Sus scrofa: one gene and its partners. The protein of the gene in region 3 interacts with the protein of the main gene of each other region in a pairwise test. Links are inferred from orthologs where the notes say so. Each region holds a gene or a part of one and is shown on either strand. Other genes may lie near its edges.

Evidence for each region.
Region 1: the proteins of ARL6IP1 (region 3) and SNX11 interact in binary tests that used the Homo sapiens proteins (3 or more experiments, as listed by UniProt). The two-hybrid records come from large-scale screens. The link is inferred for Sus scrofa from reciprocal best matches to the Homo sapiens genes ARL6IP1 and SNX11.
Region 2: the proteins of ARL6IP1 (region 3) and ACSF2 interact in binary tests that used the Homo sapiens proteins (3 or more experiments, as listed by UniProt). The two-hybrid records come from large-scale screens. The link is inferred for Sus scrofa from reciprocal best matches to the Homo sapiens genes ARL6IP1 and ACSF2.

The regions. Positions count from the first base shown.
Region 1 is NC_010454.4:24,348,576-24,355,979, reverse strand, and holds the start of SNX11 (sorting nexin-11), read right to left. Parts: upstream 4,681-7,404; 5' UTR 4,536-4,680; intron 2,457-4,535; exon of another isoform or gene 2,397-2,456; intron 1,512-2,396; 5' UTR 1,503-1,511; coding exon 1,356-1,502; intron 640-1,355; coding exon 553-639; intron 264-552; coding exon 163-263; intron 1-162. UniProt on the Homo sapiens protein: Phosphoinositide-binding protein involved in protein sorting and membrane trafficking in endosomes. Regulates the levels of TRPV3 by promoting its trafficking from the cell membrane to lysosome for degradation.
Region 2 is NC_010454.4:26,710,667-26,718,154, reverse strand, and holds the start of ACSF2 (acyl-CoA synthetase family member 2, mitochondrial), read right to left. Parts: upstream 4,366-7,488; 5' UTR 4,209-4,365; coding exon 4,081-4,208; intron 1-4,080. UniProt on the Homo sapiens protein: Acyl-CoA synthases catalyze the initial reaction in fatty acid metabolism, by forming a thioester with CoA. Has some preference toward medium-chain substrates. Plays a role in adipocyte differentiation.
Region 3 is NC_010445.4:26,758,075-26,765,700, reverse strand, and holds the start of ARL6IP1 (ADP-ribosylation factor-like protein 6-interacting protein 1), read right to left. Parts: upstream 5,057-7,626; 5' UTR 4,978-5,056; coding exon 4,942-4,977; intron 2,168-4,941; coding exon 2,034-2,167; intron 1,120-2,033; coding exon 1,000-1,119; intron 1-999. UniProt on the Homo sapiens protein: Positively regulates SLC1A1/EAAC1-mediated glutamate transport by increasing its affinity for glutamate in a PKC activity-dependent manner.

The DNA of each region.
Region 1 (7,404 bases), on a different chromosome or scaffold from region 3:
TTCTTCACTGACTTGAAAACATAATTGAAGAACACATTTCTCAATTTCCTTAGTACGTGTTGCAAGTTGCCAAGTTTTTTCTCATTGTAAATTCCAGTTGCCAAAGTCAGCACCTAAAAAGCCAGTCTCAGACCCAAGAAAGAAAAACAAGAGCAAACTCACACTAAGCCAGCATTTCTCTGTAGCTGCTTTCTCAGCCATACAAACTCCCTGTAGCGGCGACGCACACAGGACGTCTTGGCAGTAAAGGCCTTGCTATTGGTCTACAGGAGGAAGCACATGCAAAGGGTTTAGTGGAAAAAGCTCATGTTCACCTGAACGCCCCATTGTCACTCTCACTGAGGACCCAAGCCACCAGGCCACAGCCAGGGGCTCCAAGCAGAGCAAGGTGCCACCAGGCAGCCTGAAAGCAACTCTCAGACAAACCCCAGGCTCTTTCCTCTCCTCCCTCCTTTTCTTCTGTCAAAACATCCATGGACAGGTCCTGTCTCAGCACTGGCCCTCAGCCCTGGTTGAAGGTGTTGACCCCAGTACTGAGTTGGATGCACTTACGTGAAGGAATATCTTATAATCCACATAAGAATTCCAGGAGCCCTCATTCTGCACTCGGGGGTCCTGAACACGCACAGTGATCACCTCCTGCAGGTAAGAAATGCTCCTTGAGGAGTTCCCATTATGGTGCAGTGGAAACAAACCCGACTAGTAACCACGAGGACGTGGGTTCGAACCCTGGTCTCGCTCAGTGGGTTAAGGATCTGATATTGCCATGAGCTGTGGTATAGATCGCAGATGAGGCTCGGATCCCTCATTGCTGTGGCTGTGGCATAAGCTGGTGGCTACAGCTGTTCGACCCCTAGCCTGGGAACTTCCACATGCCACAGGTGTGGCCCTAAAATGAAAAAAAAAGAAAAAGAAAAAAGAAAGAAATGCTCTTTGAGCTTCAGCTCATCCACACAAGAAGGCAGCTTTGACACACAAGTTGCCAGATTTTTCACTCGGCACCAATTTTGCTCATTTGTTCATTTATTCATTCAATTCAGCAAATATTTATTGATCACCCTCTTTGTGGCAGGCACTGTTCGAAGGCACTGGGGATAGAACATGAACAAGAGACAAAAATCCTTGCCCTTATGAAGCTTATATTCTAGTACCTTCCAAGGAATGGAAAAGCTTGTGAAAATGGAACCTCGTTTCCCAGTAATGCCTTTACTGTTGATTTCCTTCTCTTGGCTTGACTTTGAGCTCATCAGAACCACCAAGGCCTTACTGTCAGAAGAACACAGCCCAGCAATATCTGAACCTCCCACATGCCCTCAAACTTTAACCCACCTGTTCCCCAGAAACTACGTGCTTACCTCCTGCTCTTGGTTCTCCAACATCCTACACCAAAAGCCCATTGGTAGGAAACATCTGGCAAAGGGCAGAGACACAGGATCAATCACCGTTAGTTGGCTTCCACCCTTACTTCTCTCTGCCAGGGCAAAACCCTGAAAATTTTTCATCAGTCTCCCCTGGGGAAACACAGACAACTTTTTTTGTTCTTGAGTAAAACTTAAGAGGAAGCAAAAAAAATCCCCCCCACAGAAGCGTGGTGCCAAGCTAAAAGCCCTGTGGGATTTGCCTCCCTTCTTAGTCCCTGGTGGAGACCCTGACCCAAGCCGCCTCTAGCTAAAAAGCACGTTCAGGTCTGCACAATGTCCTCTCAGGCAGCCAGAACAGGCAGGTGGGCTCTAAAAGCTTTCTGCCTGAAAACACCAGCGATGCCCAGCAGTGTCTGTGGGCGCACACAGCACAGCTCTCTAAGTGAGCCCGACATCGCCCCCTTCTGGCTATCTAGAGACAACCAAAACCGCACACACACACCAAAGCTCCTAAGTCTATCTTTTGTCTTGCTAAGCACAGTCACACACACACACACCCGCCCCCGAAGGTACCTCTCAGGGTCAGAGAGTTCCGGGGGCACCTGAGCGGGCTGCCCAGCAATGACCTTCCCTTATCTAATCCAATCTCTGGAACCCAAGCCAATGGTTCTAATCATTTCCTCTCTCGATATGCGGTTTGCACCTCTGCCCAAGCACCCCACAGCTGCACAGGTCGACTCAGGATGTTTTCCGCTCCTTTGCAAAGATTCATTAAAGCCTAAGCCACTGATTTCCCCCAATGTGGCAGTTTACATGTGCAGCGACATCGCCCACTCCGACAAGGGGACCATGAAGGCTGCAGCACAGGGTTACTCAAGTCCAAAGGGGCCCATGATGTCACCTTCTGTTAAAATACAGCACTAATCTTGTTACTCCTAGAACCACTCCAACAGCATCCACTCTGGCTGCCGCCTCCACCCCCTTCTCCTCTCTTAAGAGCGGAACAATAAGGTTTAATTTCCCTTTCCAATTTACCTTGAAATGAAAACTGACTTCAGCCAATATGTACTGCCAACAAATGATCCGGGCTGGCTCCTGGGAAAACAAGACTATCGCTAAGCTCTCCCTCTCCTCCCCTCATGCCCATTCACACACCCACTCGTTTTTACAGTCCCACAATTAATTTTAAACACATTCTCTTATTAGTTCTGCCTTACCATTAGAAGAGCGTGTAATGAGTTTCCTTCTATTTTATGTTGTGCTAACACAAGGCTAACATTTCAAGAGAAGGGGAACTCATTTACGCCACAAAATTAGCAAAGCACACAGCTTTTCCAATCCTTTCCGGTATACCAGAAGGGCTCGCCACACACCGGCACTGCATGCAGAGATTAAACTGCATGATATACACCAAAATTGGGCTATAGAGCTGAACAAACAGGAAATTTTGTGATTGAGATATCATCTTTAACAGTATTCATGCTGACATTCTGATTTTTCATTTGATGCGGTCACTACCGCCAAAGAGTCCTGAACTGGAAGGCAGGACTGTCCAGTTCCATGGCCACTGATGCATGTAAGCAGTCCTGCATGTAAGCAGTCAAGTGGCTGTGACCCAAAAAGGCAGGCCAACTCACTGTGAACAACTAATCTCCTCATATTAAAACGAAACATCTTTTCTTTTCTCTTTTCAGGCATTGGTTAATTACCAGCACAGGAGCAGACAGTTAAATACACTGAACCGTTTTTCCTACAAAAGGAACAACAGGAGAGATGCTAACAAGGAAATCCACACACTCAGAAGAGCTCGAACATCCACAATGCCTTGAAAGGTTTCCCAAATTCAGGACCATAGTTTAGTAACTTAATGGTCATCACTCTCAGGCTCAAGAAGAGTTTGCCTAGGACTCTGAACCACCTCCAAAAGCAAGTTCCCCTCCTTTCCTTTGGGAATCATACCACTTAGAAACTAAAAGCTATAAACTGGCTTTAAAAATCCTAGGATCTCCAAGATGGTATAAACTTAAGTCTAAGTTCACAAAGCACTAAGAAAGTTTCAATGGTAACTTTCCTTAGAAACAACGGGGCCACAAAAACCTAGACTTCAAGTAATAATTTTCAGCAACTACTATTCTCCATCAGCTTCCTCCCTGTGCACTCCTTAGGAGGAAATAAAGCTCATTTCAGCCCTTGGAGGGAAGAAGGAAGTTCTTAATTTTAGCTCCATGATCTAGGAGATGGATCCATGTGTCATCTGACTAAGTATAGTTTCAGCTACTTACTTGGCACCAGCACCAGGAAGTGTAGCTTCCTGCGACCCTACAATCACATTTGAAGTTTTCCTTTGCTTTTCCCAGGACCTCCAAGGAAAACCCAGTTTGTTTATAGGGTAGATTCCTTGTAAAGCTTTCCAATGCCTCAACAATTCAAGGTAGCAATTCAAGGCTTTAACTCCACCATTTTCCCTCAGATTTAAACTACTTCAAGAGACAGGTTAAGAAAAAAAAATCAGGTGATAAAAAGTATACTGAGCCACCAAGACGCTCATCCTTGCTTACTCAGCCTTCAGCTCTTGGTGCCAGATGGCAACTCAAAAACTCTGCTTCGGAGAAACACTCACAGGTGGTAGAAGGAGCTCTCCTGTCTGACCAAGCTCTGCCTGTTCTCAACCAAGCAGCTATGCTCCATCTTTTGGTGATCTGCAACTTGCCACTCTCTCCACTTGCAAGCTGAGACACAAAGGCGACCACAATCTAGTGCAAGAGTCTTCTGGGTCCTCGTAAAATATGTGTCATTAGTCTTAGTCCTAGCGTTTGGCTAAAAGTCTCCAAACTTTTACTCCGGCCACACCCCCTGTGTTCCTAACGAACTAGGAGCAAAAAAGGCCACATAGTCCTTACTCCCTTTTGCCTACTAAGCCTGAGGAGTGGGAAGGAAAGATGCTTTACACTTTATAAATAAGTGGAAAAGCCGGTTTCCTTCCTCGGATACTGAGCTAGCCCTGCCTTCATCTCTGGAGAGGAGTCGGTTCCTTCCTCAGGATGTCCAGCAAGGTCCCCACCCTAAGCGCCACTGCTGACGCTCAAGCCTGCAGGCCTTACCTAAGACCAGAGCCCACGCCCCTTCACCTGACAGCAGCACCCACTCCCCGCGGACCCGCCCACTCCCCCTCACCTGAAAGCAGCGCCCACTCCCCACAACGACACCGCTGACAGCCCAACATATAGTCAGAGTCCCGGCTTCTCCTTCCGGGTGAGCTGCCGGCGCCCCGATGCACGACGGGAGAAAGTTGCCGGCGCGCCAATCCCGGGTGCCCAGACGCCCCGCCCCGCAGGCCCGGGCTCTCAGTGGCAGCCTCGCCCCGGCGGTGCGCTCCGCCCAGCGCTGGCCACTGCTGGAGTAGCTATTCCTACCTCTCCCCTGGGAGGCTGCAGGGTGGACGTGGGCGTGGGGAGACAAGAGGCTCTGACGTCCAATCCAGAGCCGCATCCCACCCATCGTTGTCAGGCCCAGCCAATCAGTGGCCAAGGAACAACCCCGAAACATCCCAAAGTGGGTCCCGGGGCAGAGTGTGAAGGGATGATCAGCGGTCTAGAGTGTGGCAGAGTCCAAAGCGTGGGAACCTCGCTGAGCCTGGGCGAGTCCCCATGTGAACCCTGGCTCCAGTTCCCCGGCTTTACCAAGGAAACACCAACTCAGATTCGAAGACCAGATTGTCGGAGCGAAAACCGGCTGAGGACTTTGCAGCAAACACCGGTTTCACTTGCGGAGCAAGCCCTAGGAAAGATCGTCCAGCCAGTTAGTAAGAAAGAAAAATACATTGACTACGATGTTTATGTTGTTGAAATGCCTTTTAACTATCTGCTTAAAAATAATTTTAGAAAAGCTAATATCAAGGGAAAAGTTGCAGTCGCAAATACGAGCTCTGGAGTTTAAAGACCTGGGTACAATGACCAGCACTACGCTGACCGTGTGATCTTAAATCTTTATGTCTTAAGTTCCTCTTCTGTAAGGTGGAGAAATCTCATAAGGTAAGGTCCACGTACCCCAAAGCAGCTTTTCTCAAACTTGTTGGTCTCAGGATCCCTTTACATTCTTACAAATATTTAAGGACCCCAAAGAGCTTTTGTTTATGTGGGATGTTCACCGGATTAGAAATTAAAACTGAGAAATTAGAAAAACGTATCTATTCACCTAAAACTAATAACAAACCATTACATGTGAACGTAATTTATTTTATGAAATATAACTACACTTTCCAAAACCCAAAAAAATTATCGAGTAGAATGTTATTCTATTACCATTTTGCAAATCTCTTTCATGTTTGGCATAATAGAAGACAGCTGAATTCTTGTATTAGCTTCCCCATTCTCTCTTGTGATTTTGTTTTGGACTAGGAAATGAAGAAAATCTGGTCTTACACAGGTACATAGATGACAAGGGAGAAGTATCTTTAGCCTTCGATAATTGTGGATACTCTTATTGTATACTAGCAAAACTCATCAAATTGTAATTTTTTTTTCTTTTTCTTTTTTGGCCTCACCCACAACATGTGGAAGTTCCCCAGGCCAGGGATCAAACCATTGCCACAGAAGCAATTGGGGCCACTACAGTGACACACCAGGCCCTTAACCCACTGCTCCACAAGGGAACTCTAAATGGTAGTTTCTTTAAGGTTAGTTGCAATGGGAAATCTGAAACCATTTGGAAAATACTGGTTTTCTGAGTAATGTAGATCTTCCAAATATTAATGTATTTCACTTTTCAGTTTTTTTTTTTTTTTGTCTTTTTGCCATTTCTTGGGCCGCTCCCTCGGCATATGGAGGTTCCCAGGCTAGGGGTCGAATCGGAGCTGTAGCTGCCAGCCTACACCAGAGCCACAGCAACGCAGGATCCGAGCCATGTCTGTGACCTACACCACAGCTCATGGCAACGCCGGATCATTAACCCACTGAGCAAGGGCAGGGATCGAACCCGCAACCTCATGGTTCCTAGTCAGATTCATTAACCACTGCGCCACCACGGGAATTCCACTTTTCAGTATTTTAAATATCACGTTTATTAAAATGTGATTAAAAATCACATTTAAGGGGTTCCCGTCATGGTGGCACAGTGGAAACGAATCTGACTAGGAACCATGAGGTTGTGGGTTCAATCTCTGGCCTCACTCAGTGGGTTAAGGATCTGGTGTTGCTGTGAACTGTGGTGTAGGCTGGCAACTAGCTCCGATTGGACCCCTAGCCTGGGAACCTCCACATGCCGCGAGTGCGACCCCTAAAAGCCAAAAAAAAAAAAAAGTCACATTTATTAAAAGCATCACTGAATTCATCAGTCTTGCAAAGTTGCCATCAAGCTCACTGGTGAATACTTCATTTTCCTATAATGGCAGAAAAGTTTTCCCTTCTTTTCTAGGTTCTTTGGCTGAAGTAAGACAAATTAACAGGAGAAAAAACAATTTTGTACTTAGAGGAGCCCCATAAAAATGATACCCAAGGGCAAGTTAGGCAGTGGAGACTCATATGCCATCTTGAGCTGAAGACTGGGCTAGGAGCCTGGGGCTTCAAAGTAGGGTAGGGCAATTCACAGGACTAGAAGGAGAGCAGGTGTTTGGTAATTAGAAGTTTGCCCAGGAAGTTCCCTTGTGGCACAGTGGGTTAAGGATCCAGCGTTGCCTCAGCTCTGGCACAGGCAGCAACTGCAGTACAGGTTTGATCCCTGACCCAGGAACTTCCACATGCCACAGATGAAGGGAAAAAAAAAAGTTTGCCTAGTCATCCTGATAAGTCGTTCAGATAAAAAAAGTTATCTCTGGTAGTAGCTCTTTTTCTGGTACAAGTCCCCTGCCTCCATTCTTTAAGATAGTTAGGGAGAAGTGAAAGTTTTCCCTGGAGTTCCTCTTGTGGCTCAGTGGGTTAAGAACCTGACACAGTGTCAGCGAGGATGCAGGTTCAATCCCTGGCCTCACTCAATGGGTTAAGGATCCAGCATTGCCACAAGCTGTGGTGTAGGTCCCAGATGCGGCTCAGATCTGACGTTGCTGTGG
Region 2 (7,488 bases), on a different chromosome or scaffold from region 3:
CCTATACTTTGGTTTCTTCAACACATGATCGGGGGTTGGGGGGGAGAGCAGCCCTTTATCCCAGCACTCAGCATAAGCACGATGTGTCTGTCAACAGCCAGAGCAGCCCCAGGTTGGTTTAAGTAGACCTGTGTTCTTCCTACTCTCCAGACAGGCTTCTAAGCCGTGGATCTTGGAATAATTGTAGGAATGTCCAAAGCCATTATTGCACAAGCCCTATCATTAATGCAATGGGTTGAAGGTCTCCTTAGAGTCAGGCCACGAATTAAGAATTTTCTGGGAGTTCCCGTCGTGGTGCAGTGGTTAACAAATCCAACTAGGAACCATGAGGTTGCAGGTTCGATCCCTGGCCTCGCTCAGTGGGTTAAGGATCCGGTGTTGCCGTGAGCTGTGGTGTAGGGTGCAGACGTGGCTCGGATCTGGTGTTGCTGTGGCTGTGGTATAGGCCAGTGGCTACAGCTCTGATTAGACCCCTAGCCTGGGAACCTCCATATGCTGTGGGTGCAGCCCTAGAAAAGACAAAAAAAAGATGAAAAAAAAAAGAAAAAGATTTTTCTTAAAAAAAAAAAAAAAATAGGGAGTTCACGTTGTGACCTAGTGGTTAATGAATCCAACTAGCATCTATCAGGACTCGGGTTCAATTCCTGGCCTCGCTCAGTGGGTTAAGGATCCGGCATTGCCATGAGCTGTGGTGTAGGTTGCAGCCGTGGCTTGGATCCCGAGTTGCTGTGGCTGTGGCAGGGGCCACCAGCTACAGCTGTGATTCAGCCCCTAGCCTGAGAATCTCCATGTGCCCCAGGTGCAGCCCTAAAAAGACAAAAGACGGGGGAAAAAAAAAAAAAAAAAACAACATTCTTATGTGACCTCACTTAACTCTCACAACAACACCGTTTACAAACAACAAAGGTCTCAAGTTCAACTGATTCCGGAAGCTACCAGCTAGAAAGTGGTTCTTTGAACACAGATCTGTCTGGCTCCAAAATCTTTGTAGACTGAATAAATAAATAATGTGAGAGATCTTAGCAAGGCTTCATATCCAAGGTTCAAAAGAGTTTAGGGCAAGCAAGCGTTCATACAAGTATATAGACTTCATCCTTCAAACTACAGCCCTGTCATTGGAGATCAGGCTCATATTCTGGGCTCTTTAGAAAGTCTTACCCAGTCCCATTCCTACCAGTCAGATTCTTCCCTGCTTTGATTGACACCCTCCCTGGTACAGCATCCTTACTTCCTTGAATCAGTGGGTCTATGATCTTTCCCTGTAGAGCCCTTTTAGTCAAAGAAGTCACTGAAAACAAGTTCATCCATCCTTGTATCCCCCATTGCACCCGCCACAGTAGACTGCATACCTGCATCATTCACAGATTACAATGTCTAAATTTATAGTTTCTTTTCTTTTTTTTTTTTTTGTATTTTTTTTTTGTCTTTTTTTTTTTGTCTTTTTAGGGTCGCACCTGCACATATGGAGGGTCCCAGGCTAGGGGTCAAATTGGAGCCGTAGCTGCCAGCCTACGTGACAGCCACAGCAAGGCGGGATCCGAGCTGCACCTGTGACCTACACCACAGCTCACGGCAACACCGATCCTTAGCCCAGTGAGTAAGGATAGGGATCGAACCTGCATCCTCACGGATACTAGTTGGGTTTGTTAACCACTGAGCCACGATGGGAACTCCTAAACCACTGTTCTTTCTGTCTTCCCCAGCCCTAAGTGCTCGCAATAACCCAGGTGCAGCTGCCTCACAGGCTTCCCCAAGGAATCAGCATGGGATTCCTCCCTCCAAAGCTCCTGGAAGCCCCAGACTAGACCATTTCCCATTCCTGGGGAATAGCGTGTGTGTGGACAAGGGGAAGGGGTTGATAGTTCAGGAGATCTGGAGAGCAATGGACAGCTTCCTCTTTCCTTCTGGGGAAAAAGGGCTCTGGACAGCCCTGACCTTGATGGATAGAGGAGTGTCCAGCAGATCCAGGCACTAGACTTGGGGCTGGGCAGAGCCCAACATTTTGGCAACTGATCTGGAAAGAGGACCAGGTGCAAGAAAGAGGTCACTGAGGAGGGGGTCCTTTCCTCCCTTCAAATCACTTGGAAGTCCTACCTAGACACCACTGGGAGGTTCTTAGGGACCAAGCCTGCCCCAAAGCAAAGGCTGAGAGGAGCAAGCCTTTGTCAATTCAGCAAGTAGGTACCATTAGTGACAACGCCACAGGCTCCTGGCTCAGGTCACATGCTCAAGTCACACAGCAAGTAGGTGGAGGCACTAGGGCTATAACCCAAAGCAGCCTGGCTTCAAAATTCTTGCTTTTTCCTAACAGGCAAAACTAAGGATCTGATAAGGAATAGACATGGGTGCTGGTCAGCAAGAAAGCGAGCTATATGGGACCAGGTCAGAAAGAGCAGAGGACAAAAGTCCAGGAGCTTTCCACACGGCACCCAGAACACGGAGCAGTGGTCATCCTGACTTGTCTCTGTACTAGGCTACAAGTCCCCGGAGGACTGGGTTCTATGACTTTCATAACTACGGCACCCATCAGGGGTTGGTCATGATGAAGGCTCTCGGGAGTATAGGCTGAATGCTTGAGACTCCTGAGGGTTTCCGAGAGGACAGGAGGAGCAAAATCAGGCCAAACGACCAGAGTCAGTAGGGAAGGGCTCATGCACGAGTGCATGGAAAGGATGGGAGGGAATTAGGCCAGATGCTCAGGAAATTCTTCTCTGGACACATGGCTCTCCTCCTGACACAGAGTCAGAAATTTCTCGGAGGCCTAGTACCCCTACCCTAAGGTTACAGGACTGTAGCAAGTAAGGGACCTGCTTTGTTTACACATAAAAAAAAAGTCAAAGGTCCAGAACGATTGCAAAGGTGGCCTGATGTACATCATGAAACATGTACACCCACCCCCGCCCCCGCCCGGAGTCCAGAAGTGAGGCTTGAAGGCTGTGGGGTGGTGATGGCAGAGCTTGCCTAGGAAGGCACTTAGCAGGAGGTCGTGAGTGACGGAGCCAGCAGAGAAGCATTCTCGTCCTCAGAATCCCATCTGCTGACCTTCTTGAGCCACCTCCAGAAAAATCAGGCCCAGCAATCCGAAAGCACTGCATGCTTTCTACCAGCTAGTTCAAAACACTGTGATCTCCAGAGTTCCAGCCAAAGAGGAGTTTGGACCTCCCATCAACTTCCCTCATCTGTTTTTTTTTTTTTTTTTCGTTTTGTTTACACCATGCCGGCAAGACAAGAAACCTCTTCGAGCTTCTCCTCCCTTTTCAATGCCCAGGCCTACATGGCACCTGGGGTCCAAAACCCTGTCCTGACCCCAGAGCCAGTACCTGGCCTAGGTGGGTGGCAGGGCAGGCTCAGTGGTGGCCAGGCCTCCCCCTGCTGGGTGCTAAAGATAAAAGCCACCGCTAATAACTAGCGGGAGCCCAGCCCTGCTTCCCAAACACATTTTCACATCTGCACTCTTAGAGGGAGGTAGTATTGCTTACGCTGCTGCTTTAGAGGCAGCACACTTGCTAGAAAAACACTTCCTTCATCTGCCAGGGCACTTTCCTTCTTCACCAGAGCAGAAGAAAAGAGGCCAAGGAAGCAGCAAGGAGCCCAGCAGGGTTTATCAGCAGCAGAGGAGGAGAGGGGAGACTGCTGAGCTTCAGGACCTGGGGCGCACAAGACGGGGTGGAAGATCCCCAAGTTTAACCATGAAAAGGTTCCAGCTCAGAAGGAGTGTCCTGGGGAGAGAGTCCAGGCCTTGGGCCAGACTGCTAATGGCTCCCACTCCCGGCCATCAGTATGCCCGCGACTGGAAGAATCTAGAGTCTTGAACCAGAACCCAGAGTCTGTGCAGAGTCCCTGCAGCTGCAGCCCCAGCCTGTGTGGGCCAGGCCAGCATTTCCTGTTGCCTAGGTGCCAGATTCAGGGTACCTGCTCTCTCGCCTGTGCTGCCCAGGGGTGCAGCCGCCGCGAGTCTCCCAGCTTGAGTGCCATCTGCCCCCTGCGAGGCTCTGCAGACCGCCCCCCCCCCCGCCGCCCCCCGCCCAGGATCCCCACCCAGGGGACTGGCCCGTCCCTTCTCTTCCCGGGGCCGCGTACCTGAGGGGACGGACGCCCCACAGCCTCGCTTCCTGCCAAACCCGGGAGAGGCCGCCCCGGGCCCCCAGCACCTCCGGCCTCCCGGCGCACAGCCTCACGACGCGCAGCATCCCGAGGTAGACGGCCATGGCTCGCGACGTCAGCGTCCCGGCCCGGAGTAAACTTTTAAAGCGCGCCGAGGCGGGGCGAAGCGCGGGGAGGCGGGAGGGTCGCCTCTGCCTATGGGTTGCGGAGAAGTTGGGGCCGGCCGGGGCGGGGCGAGGCGAGGCCCAAACGAGGCGTGGAGGAAGTGCCCGATCCCGGGCCACCTTCCCTGGGACCCGCTTCCCTGCCCCGCCCCCCACCCACCCTCGAAGAATTGCCTTGGTTTCCCCTCTGGACCCGACAGTCCCTGCCGCAGGACCCCGGCAGCTCTCCCCTTCCAACCACTAGGGGCCTGAGTTTGGGGGCGCAGGAACGTGTTGATTTCGTAAAGGGGGAACCAGCGGCGCGGCCAGACGCGTCCATCCCCCCCCCCCCAAGAGCCGGCTTAGCGCACAGGTCACGTGCTGGTTCCCGGGTTGTGGGCCAGAGGCCAGGGGGAGCCGGTGCGAGGCTCCCCCAGGCCTGCCAGCTGGAGCACAGGGCCCGCGGGGGAGGGGAGGCAGCCGGGACAAAAGGTGCAGCGGGTGAGGACCCCCCACCCCACCGCGGGGCGAGTCCTGGCTGAGGACAAACGCCAGCTCCAGTTGGTACTCCCGTGTCCCAAGGGGCAGCCTGCGTTCCCTCCCCCTGCCTTGAGCTGCCGGCCCGTTAAGGTGGTGGAAACCTGTGTTTTTCTCCCCCCATCTGCCAGCCCTAGCGGCGGGGTGGGGGCCCTAAGGCACAGTTCCCGCGAGGCTGTCCCTGAATGAGAATGAAAAGCAACTGTGCCAAGGCTCCACCCATCACCCTCTCTCTAACCCCCCAGGCCTTCCTTATGATCCTCTGAGGCCCCAGTGTGTCTGCAGGTTGGAAAGAAGGTGACTATTTATCTCTGGACCTGGCTGGAAAGGTGGTGTTGGAGACCAGAGTGCCTGGTCCACAGTGTCTTGGTGTAGCCTTGACCCTTTTCCAGAGAAGGAGAGGGAGAGCTATGGGGGAAAGGCCCTGGCAGGGTGCTTTCCCCTCTCCTGACCCAGAAGCAGGGATACAGTGGGTCAGGCGGAATGGGTGCTGAGGGCTGAACCTGGCCGGAGGAGACCTTTGCCTTTATCTGGGAACTTTGGCTCCAAACTGAGGTCATGAGAAGGAGGCTATGTTTCCTCTCCCTTTTTTTTTTTTTTTTTTTTTTTTTTTTTTTGGCCACACACATGCCACACACGTGGCATACAGAGGTTCCCAGGCTAGGGGTCTAATCAGAGCTGTAGCCGCCAGCCTATACCACAGCAACAGCAACCTGGGATTCCAGCTGCGTCTGTGACCTACACCACAGATCACGGCAACGCCAGATCCTTAACCCACTGAGCAAGGCCAGGGATCAAACCCGCAACCTCATGGTTCCTAGTCGGATTCGTTAACCACTGCGCCACAATGGGGACTCCTGTTTCCTCTCTTTGTGATCCCAAAAGTGACTGTGGATTCCCCCTGAAACCCTGGCTCTTGGGGATGGTCCCCGAACTTCAGCTGCCTGGAAAGGAAGACGGAGAAAGCGAGATGAAGAGGAGCTGGGCTCACAGGGCATATGCCTTCCTAAGAGACTAACTCACAGAGTCTGACAGCTCAGCCCAGGGAATGGGGAGTAGCCCAGGAGTGGGTACCCGAACTGCTCAGCAGGCTTTGCTACTAGCTTGCTGGATGACCCTGGGGAAGTCATTTCTCCTCTCTGGGCCTGTGAAGCGAGAGGTGGGCACTGCTCTGGCAGGCCTTTGTGAATGCGAGTTCCCGTGGTAGCACAGAACCAGATGTAGTGTCTGTGAGGAAGTGGGTTCAGTTCCTGGCCTCGCTCAGTGGATTCAGGATCCAGCGTTGCCTTGAGCTGTGGCATAGGTTGCAGATGCGGCCCCAACCCAGTGTTGCTGAGGCAGTGGAGGCTGTGGCATTGACCGGCAGCTGCAGCTCTGATACAGCCCCTAGCCTGGGAACCTCCATACGCCACAAGTGCAGCCATAAATTTTTTTTTTAAATGTGAATGGATGTGCCATTGATGGTTAAAATAGTAAATTTCATTTATGTCTACTTTACCACAATTTTTAAAAAACGGCTCTCTTTGGAATGAAAGGAGGGAGGAAGCAGAGAACTACTTTTTTGTTTAAAAAGCCATTTTCTTGTTTTATTTTCCTAAGACGCTGTACATGTTTTCTCTTAATAAGTTTTCAAAGTAACAGCCCAGGAGTTCCCATCGTGGCACAGTGGTTCATGAATCCACGAGGTTGTGGATGATCCCCGGCCTCACTCAATGGGTTAAGGATCCAGTGTTGCTGTGAGCTGTGGTGTAGGCCACAGACATGGCTCGGATCCCGTGTTGCTGTGGCTGTGGCATAGGCCAGCTGGTTAGACCCCTAGCCTGGGAACCTCCATATGCCTCGGGAAGGGGCCCTAGAAAAGATAAAAAGACAACAACAACAGCAACAACAAAGTAACAGTCCAAGAGAGGCATCCTGACTAGTGCTATTGATCATTTACAGAGACGAGCGTGTTTCATGAGGCTTTCAACGAATGCCAAGGTGTTACATAGGCCTGCAGTTGGCCTCAGAGTCAGGTCTGGGAAGAATCCAGCTCTGCTGCTTTTTCCTCTCAATGACCTTGAGCAAAGTTCTTTTCTCTGCTGTCATTTTCCAGAGCTGTCTGTTGTAAATGACGGTTTCCAAGTAGTACATGAAACATGTTTCTTTTAAAGAAATTTCTTCACCGTATGTCTGGGGAAGGAGCTATCTAATAAGAAATGCAGCAGTCTTGAAGGAAAGATGGGAAAAAAGGAAAGGCTGCTGGCAGCCCCATGCCGAAAGAGGAGGATGTGGAAGGAAGTTTTAATTTTAAAAGAAGAGATGAGGGGAGTTCCCGTCGTGGCGCAGTGGTTAACGAATCCGACTAGGAACCATGAGGTTGCGGGTTCGATCCCTGGCCTTGCTCAGTGGGTTAACGATCCGGCGTTGCCGTGAGCTGTGGTGTAGGTTGCAGACGCGGCTCGGATCCCGCGTTGCTGTGGCTCTGGCGTAGGCCGGTGGCTACAGCTCCGATTCAACTCCTGGCCTGGGAACCTCCATATGCCGCGGGAGCGGCCCAAGAAATAGCAACAACAACAACAACAAAAAGACAAAAGAAAATAAAAATAAAAATATCTTCTAAAAAAAAAAAAAAAAAAAAAAAGAAGAGATGAAAGTGACTTCATACATAATGTTGTTTATACTCTGCCCGTCAGATCCAGGACCCAACACTGAAAGCAAAACA
Region 3 (7,626 bases):
CAAGGTCTGAGGTTGATTCTGTTAAGTTGTTACATGACATAGTTACAAGCGTGCCCCCAAACAGGGGCATAATTCATTACTGCACAAGAAAAACAATTCAAAGGACATTTCCTAACACTAATCCATTCTGCTGCGGCAGAAATATCTTAATAAACATGCTTAATTATCCCATAACTTAAGCAAACCCTACTGTTTAAAATTGTTGTTTTTACAGAATTATTTTATAATTCACTATTATCAGGGGAACAAAATAACTAAAGGCCTAAGTAGACTACTAATCACATTAAAATAAACACCCAAGGTAGAGAAGCAGCTAGCAGGAAAAAAAATCTAGTATCTAGTTTTGTTCACTATTAGGATCAAAAATGAGAAATGCAACCTTCTAGAGGGAAGGTAAAAATAATAGGATCTGCAGCCATTTAACTTTATCTTGGGAACTCATAAGTAACCATTTCAAAGAAGAGCAGAGATGAAAGCAATAACCCACTTGTATATATAGCCTGAATCTATTCTAAAGCACTTAGCGTGTATTTTGCCATCCACCACTGCACTGTGTCAACCTGAAACAAAGGATCCTAAAACTCAAACTATTTCACAGCACCCAGGGCAGTTAGTGTGTCTTAACATAAAAGTAGATATTCAATAAATAGATGCTAAATGAATAGGCCGGGGGGGGGGGGGACAAAAAAAAAAAACCTCCAAAAAACTATATTACTGTTCTCATATTTATTCAAAAGTAATTTGTAAAATTAATATTATCTTAAATATCAACGGAAAAAAATCTAAAAGTAGACATACTACTTTTATGGAAAGCTCATGATGAGTTTTGCAATCCTAGATAAAACATTACCTAAAAAAGCCTCACTTCAAGCAATAAATCTACCCCCCAGTATCTGGCGGTGAAGACAATTCTCTGGGCTTAATTACAGCATACTAGTCACAGATACCAGGTTCAGTAACTTCTCAGAAACTTGACTGCCAAGTCATTGTTCCACCTACCATTTATTGGAGCCAAAAATTCTAGGTGCTAGAATGGGAACCAGGTAGTCAGCCAAGCACAAAAACATCACAAAACAGGAAACACCGGACAGAACAGATGGATCTAGATAGTAGATAGTCCTGTTTAAAAAAAAAAAAAAAAAGAAAGGTTATAAAAACATATTATTCCTAGCTGAAGATGTTTATTCATCCAGACCTCTGCTTCTCAAAGAGATTATCTGCCCTTTCCATTCTAATTTTCTCACAAGTGGTTTTCCGGAAGCTTCATGACATGATGACATCAGAGCTGCAAGGGTTCATGTAAACATCAAGAGACAAAAGCTTTTCGGGGTACTCAATACTTTTTAGGAGCATAAAGGCTCTTAAGGCCCAAAGTTTAAGCCATAGATTTAAAAAAAAATTTTGTTGTTGTTGTTGTCTTTTGTCCTTTTAGGGCCACACCCATGGCATATGGAAGGTCCAAGGCTAGGGGTCTATCTAATCGGAGCTGTAGCCGCTGGGCTACACCACAGCCACAGCCACGCCAGATCCGAGCTGCATCTGTGACCTACACCACAGCTCATGGCAATGCCGGATTCTCAATCCACTGAGTGAGGCCTGGGATCGAACCTGCAACCTCATGGTTCCTAGTTGGATTCATTTCCACTGCACCACAATGGGAACTCCCTCAAAAAAATTTTTACTCAAAGTATAGTTGATTTGCAATGTTCCGTCAATTTCTGCTGTGCAACAAAGTGACCCAGGCATATATACATACAAAACATTCTTTTCCTCATGTTATCTTCTGTCATGTTCCATCACAAGTGATTGGATATAGTTCCCTGTGCTGTACAGCAGGACCTAGATTTATTTCACTGCATTGGGTTACGGAGCTTACAAAAGTACTACAAATTCTGGAAACCAGGCCTGCGGTTCTAAGAAAAGGCATTCTTCACAGATTATACATTACAAAAGACTTCAGGCACTTGCATAAATGGAACTGGAGTCTTTATTAGTAACAAGCACAATCCACAGTAATTTAATATCTCACTTACAGAAACACCAAAGAAACCACGCCCATGATGGCAGGTGGAAACCAGGCTCTTTCCCATCGGAGGACTTTATCTGCCATCAGCATCACTTCTCCCCATCCCTGCAGCTGCTCTTCCAGATTTGCAGTCTCTGCAGCCTACATATGAGCAACATTTAAAGGGATTATTTTACTAATCTCCATATTTTCGTGGCTCCTAGAGAGTTAAATTCTTCTAAGGCACCAAGCATGTAAAAGAGCTCTTATAAATCACTATGGTTTTTTTGGCTTTTCAGGACCACAGTCATGGCATACGGAGGTTCCCAGGCTAGGGGTCGAATCAGAGCTGCAGCCACTGGCCTAGGCCACAGCCACAGCAATGTGGAATCCGAGCTGCATCTGTGACCTATACCACAGCTCACAGCAACACTGGATCCAAAACCCACTGAATGAGGCCAGGGATCGAACCAGCGTCCACATGGATACTAGTTGGACTCATTACCACTGAGCCACAATGGGAACTTCCACAAATCACTATCTTAAACAAGTTAGTCTTTAAAAAAAACTCTGCAGTTTTGATACCAAAGCCAGAAATTACGGGGGAAAAATTATCACTTAATGGTCACCTTCCAACTCTAAGCACTGGGCTATTCTTTATGTACATAATAACCCGTATAGAACCTCATAAAATAAGGATAATTAGATCCATTTTACAGTAAAAAGAAAGTGAGCTCAGAACGGTTGCTTTCCAAATTCTCTTGTGGTGCATCGAGTTAAGGCATTGTCACTGCAGTGGCTTTGGTTGCTGCTGTCGTGTGGGTTCAATCCTTGGCCTGGCCCGGGAACTTCCATACACAGGAGGGCACAGCCAAAAAAAAAAAAAAAAAGTTGCTTTCCCAAAGTCATGTCCTACTAAGTGGCAGCTTTCTGAAAATGAAATTACATCACTTTAAGTTTGCTCATTTCAGGTGGTTACAACTAATTTGTTGTTTCATTTCACTGACTTAACCCCCTACTTCTGAATCCATTAGGAAAGCCTCTTCCTGAAGAGCGGTTTCCAAAACAGCTCTCTGTATAATGGAATCATTTAGATGTTGGCATCATCTGCACAATTAGGAAAACTACGGGTGCTTTCACCAAATTATATGAGGCACAGTAAGCCCAATTTACCTCAATAAAATGCTTCTGACACTTAGCAGACATTGTGGTTAGACTTTAAATTTCTCTGCAAATCTGACAATCACCTGCAAGGAAACTTCTAGGATGAAGCCAATGTGACAAAAAGCCTTTAAACTGATTCTGGTAGAGGAAAAAAAAAAAAATTGGAAGAAACCCATGTATCCTTATGACTGTTATTATAGGGAGACAGGCAAATGATAGGAGACAGTGCCGCTTAACCTTGTTGAAGATGACATCTGTGGAGTTCCTGTCGTGGCTCAGCAGAAACGAATCTGACTAGTATCCGTGAGGACGCAGGTTTGATCCCTGGCCTTGCTCAGTGGGTTTAGGATCCAACACTGCTAAGAGCTGTGGTGTAGGTTGCAGACTTGGCTTGGATCTGATGTTGCTGTGGCTGTGGTGTAGCCTAGCCTGGGAACCTCCATAGGCCATGGGGGCAGCCCTAAAAAGAAAAAAAAAAAAAAAAAAAAATGCTGTGCCACACTGATCACTTAGGTGGAACCTCAATATTTCTGACTTTATATACTATGTTTAATAAGTTAAAAAAGATTATCATGTGCCAGAAACTCTGCTAAATGTTTTCTGTGTTTATATTTTAATCATTTCTCGTAACAAACTGAAAGGAAGATGTTATTATTTTCATTTTATAGATAAGGACACTGAGATACACAGAGGTTAACAGATCTGAATCTGGCAAATCCAAGGCCAAAGGCCTGTCCTTAAAGCCACACTGCTCTGCAGAGAGAGCAGCAGAGCAGAGCCCATATCGGTTGTCTCAACAGCTGTGTAAACTTGGGCAACTTCTTTGTGCTACAATCAATTCTTAAAACGAAGCTGGCTGGGGCTAACTAGGCTTACCACAGAGAAGAGGTTTTTGCTGTGTGTGTGTCATGGGGCAGAGGTCATACGTTTCTAAAAATCAATGCAAAACGAAAATCATGCACAATCAAAACTGCCCTGCAAAGTCACTTAATTCATTAGCACTCTCCCTGGGGAAAATGCAACGTAGAAAATGGACTGATCCTTCCTTCCCTTTTGCCTAGATCCTGCGTGATTCTCAGTGAGGTTAAAATTGTCTGCCTGTGATAGAACCTCACTGCATTTCCTTTAGACCCCTGCTTACTCGAAAGTCCTCCCGTGACCCTCCCCCTTCCCCAAAGGTTTATCAGTTACAGACTAACGCCGAGACCTCCCATAGTCCTTCCGGCTGGACTCTTACTTTCGGTTCCCAGCGGTGAGTTTGCAGCCTCGCTGCCGTGTTAAGCTGTGCCAGCTCTAACAAATTATCGGCAGCAACCCTTTGACCCTCAACCCCTGACCAAATACTGGGGAAAAGGGCGAAAGGATGTCCTGCTTAAGATGAAAGAGGGAAAACCCGGATACCGCTGGGGCCTGGGCCCCCCGAAGCACTCGACAGGGCACTCGCGGCCCTCAGCCAGTGACTGCACCCCAGGCGGGTCCCAGCCCCTCTTCTCTCGCTTCCTCCTCAACCTCTATTCGCGGTGAATGATCACGCGCCCTCGCTCCGTCGCGAACCGTCCCCAAGGGATGTTAGGCGTGGACACGACTAGTGACCGCCAAGCAAGGCTCACCCACGACATCCAAAGGGCAGGAGTCGTCGCCTGCACCTGGGCACCGGGAGAGGAGGCCGGGCCCGCGGCAGGTGATAGGAACGAAGCCGCAGCGCCGTCCCATGGAGCCTAATATCCAGAAACCCAGCGCATTTCCCTCACGACGAAGCCGCCAGGACTCACCAGCAGATTGGTGCTGCGATTATCTCCCTCTGCCATCGTCCCTGAGGTGTCGTCTCTAGGAGCGAAAGACGCCACAAAACCAAGAGCTCTCTCGAACCCCTTAAGGCTACCCTGGCATCAGGGTACGCCCCGCAAGCCGCTTATATAGGCTGGATGCCTTTCCCGACAGACCCCGCGAAGCTCGCTCCTCATTGGGCAAATCAAGATGAAGCTGAAGCCGGGGCGGCCAACCGCTGTCCAGCGCATGTCTTGAAACCGAGGTCAAAGGAGAGTGAGAACGCCGGGGCCGAGGAGGCGGGGACACTGAATGACCAATCAGCGCCCAGGAGGTGTGCGACGCCCCGCCCAGGCCTTTCAGAAGCGGTTGAACGGCCGCTGCCCGGGGCCTGGTGTGGCCTCAGTATCCCCGGGGCCTGTGGGAACCGTAGCTCTCGGACGCTCTTTCAGGGGGACCTCAAAGCAGCCAAGGAGACTCTCCGGAATTAGTCCTCGAGGAAATATGCCACCCAGTATCAGGCGGAAGGCAGAGGTGGTCATGTGACGCTAACTTCATTGTGATTAAGGGGGCCGGCTGGGATCCTCTTAACAGAAGCAGCCTGTGGCCCTCGCCCCAGCTGTTCCCCGTCGGCCCCGCCTTCTGATCCCTGCTCCCGCAGCCTTGAGCAGTTTAGCCTGGATTTATGACTCGTGCCCATCTCGTGAGGTTTCGCGGACAAATGAATAGGGCTATTTATGTAGATTTTTTTTCCGCAATGTTACTCCCCTTTAAGGCCTTAGTTTGATGGGGGTAGGAGAAAATCTTGGCGTAGTTCGACAACTTGTGAAAAATGCATTGACTTAAAAAAATCGGCTTGTTTATATAGGGTGTTTGGGGAAATTCTTTGTGGGGTAAACTACGAACTCCCTCTCCAAAAAGGGACTTGTTTTGACAGATCTTTTTACATTAGAGGTCATGCTAAGGAAAGATGTCAACTCTCTCATAAGGGTGGAATGAATTGGAATTTAAGAAGCAGATGAATGCCAGGGGAGCGGCCAAACAAAAACAAAAACTAGATGAGCTGTGTTGAGAAATCTTTTCTCTCCAGGACTTCACAAAAATGTATTTAAAAAATGCTTTCATTTTCATTGCTCGAAATATGCTAAATGTTGACCTGGTCAGATGTCTTTTTGAGGAAAACTTAGCATAGCTTTTAACTTTTTATAGTCTTCTATATTATGCCATCGTTTGTTTTTGGGTTTTTTTGGTATCTCATGTGGCATTTTTTTATTATACTATTAACCAATTGTGTTTTTTTTTTCCCCGCTGTACAGCATGGGGACCAAGTTACACTTACATGTATACATTTTTTTCCACCCTTTGTTCTGTTGTGATATAAGAATGTAAGTTTCTTTTTTTACTGTGAAAAAAAATAAAGCATCTGATCAGGTATAAACACTTGGAGGGAGATTAAAAAAAAAAAAAAAGCCTCTGCAAGGGAAGGGGACTGACTCTTCAGTAAAGTTCCACTTAGGGAAATGTTGGGGAGAAAAACAGGTTATGCAGGTAAAATGCAGCCAGTTGATATATCCCATTTGGGGAGATTTTAGTTGGAGTTTGAAGAGTAGGCCCTTCCCTACCTCTTCAAAAGAAAATCAGAAGGTCGCAAACAGCGAGCAACCAACCACGTGATGAATATAGAGAGTACTGAATGCAAAACAGTACTTTAGGTACAGTAACATCCACTTCCGAAGAAGAGGGCATCAGTTACTAGAGTTTAAAAACTGCCATTTGTACATTGGGAAATCAGCTTTTGCTACAGAGTGCGCCTGGTTTTTATCCAAGTTCCCTGTGTACAACTTCAGAAGAGACTTCTCTTTCAACAGCAGCTTGTGCAATTCAAGTAGGTGAAAACTGAAGGATCTGCTTTCAAACAGCACAGATTCTCCACAGAGTATCTCTTACTCAAGGAATGTGTTCCCAGACCTAACCAGCAACTTAACACCGAGCACTGGTGGAAGGTCTTTAACTAAAATTCCAGTCGCCCTAATAAGAACAAAAAACACCTACACTTAGCATGGCTTTCTTGGATGGAGCCTTTTGCCCCATTTTGTACAATAAAGGCAAGACAGAATCTTTTGAAACATGTTGGATGACTAAACAGTTAACATAAATCTTCCTAACATAATCCAACAAATGCAATCTTATTTCCAGATATTAAAACAGGTTGGCCATTTCGTTTTCCTTCATAGCTTTCATACACCAGGGAACATAAATGTGAGTAACATTCCACAGGAGTTCTTATTTAAAGATTTACAAAATTAAGCTTAATTGTGCCTTAATACTAAGAACTTAATCATGGAAGTAAAATTTCCACTGCTAATTCAAAAGTACTATTAAACTCTGAGGGTAAAATATATTTGAGAATTAAGTTTTAAAAAAAACCTTCTGGATTAACGCTTTTTAAAAAATTATTCATATTCCAAAATTAATTTTTCTGGAAACTTCGATAAATCAGAGCTTAAATCTTTTAAAACTTTATTTTTTGAAAAACAGGTATTTCATACAATCTTTGCCATGTTAATGCAAATATGCACAAAGTAGGCATGTATTTTGTTTTCCAAAAAATGCATTATGAATATTTTCAGGAAGCTGGTGTGTTTTATTCAACTTTTAATCTTAAATACAATCACAAAATTATATCCATC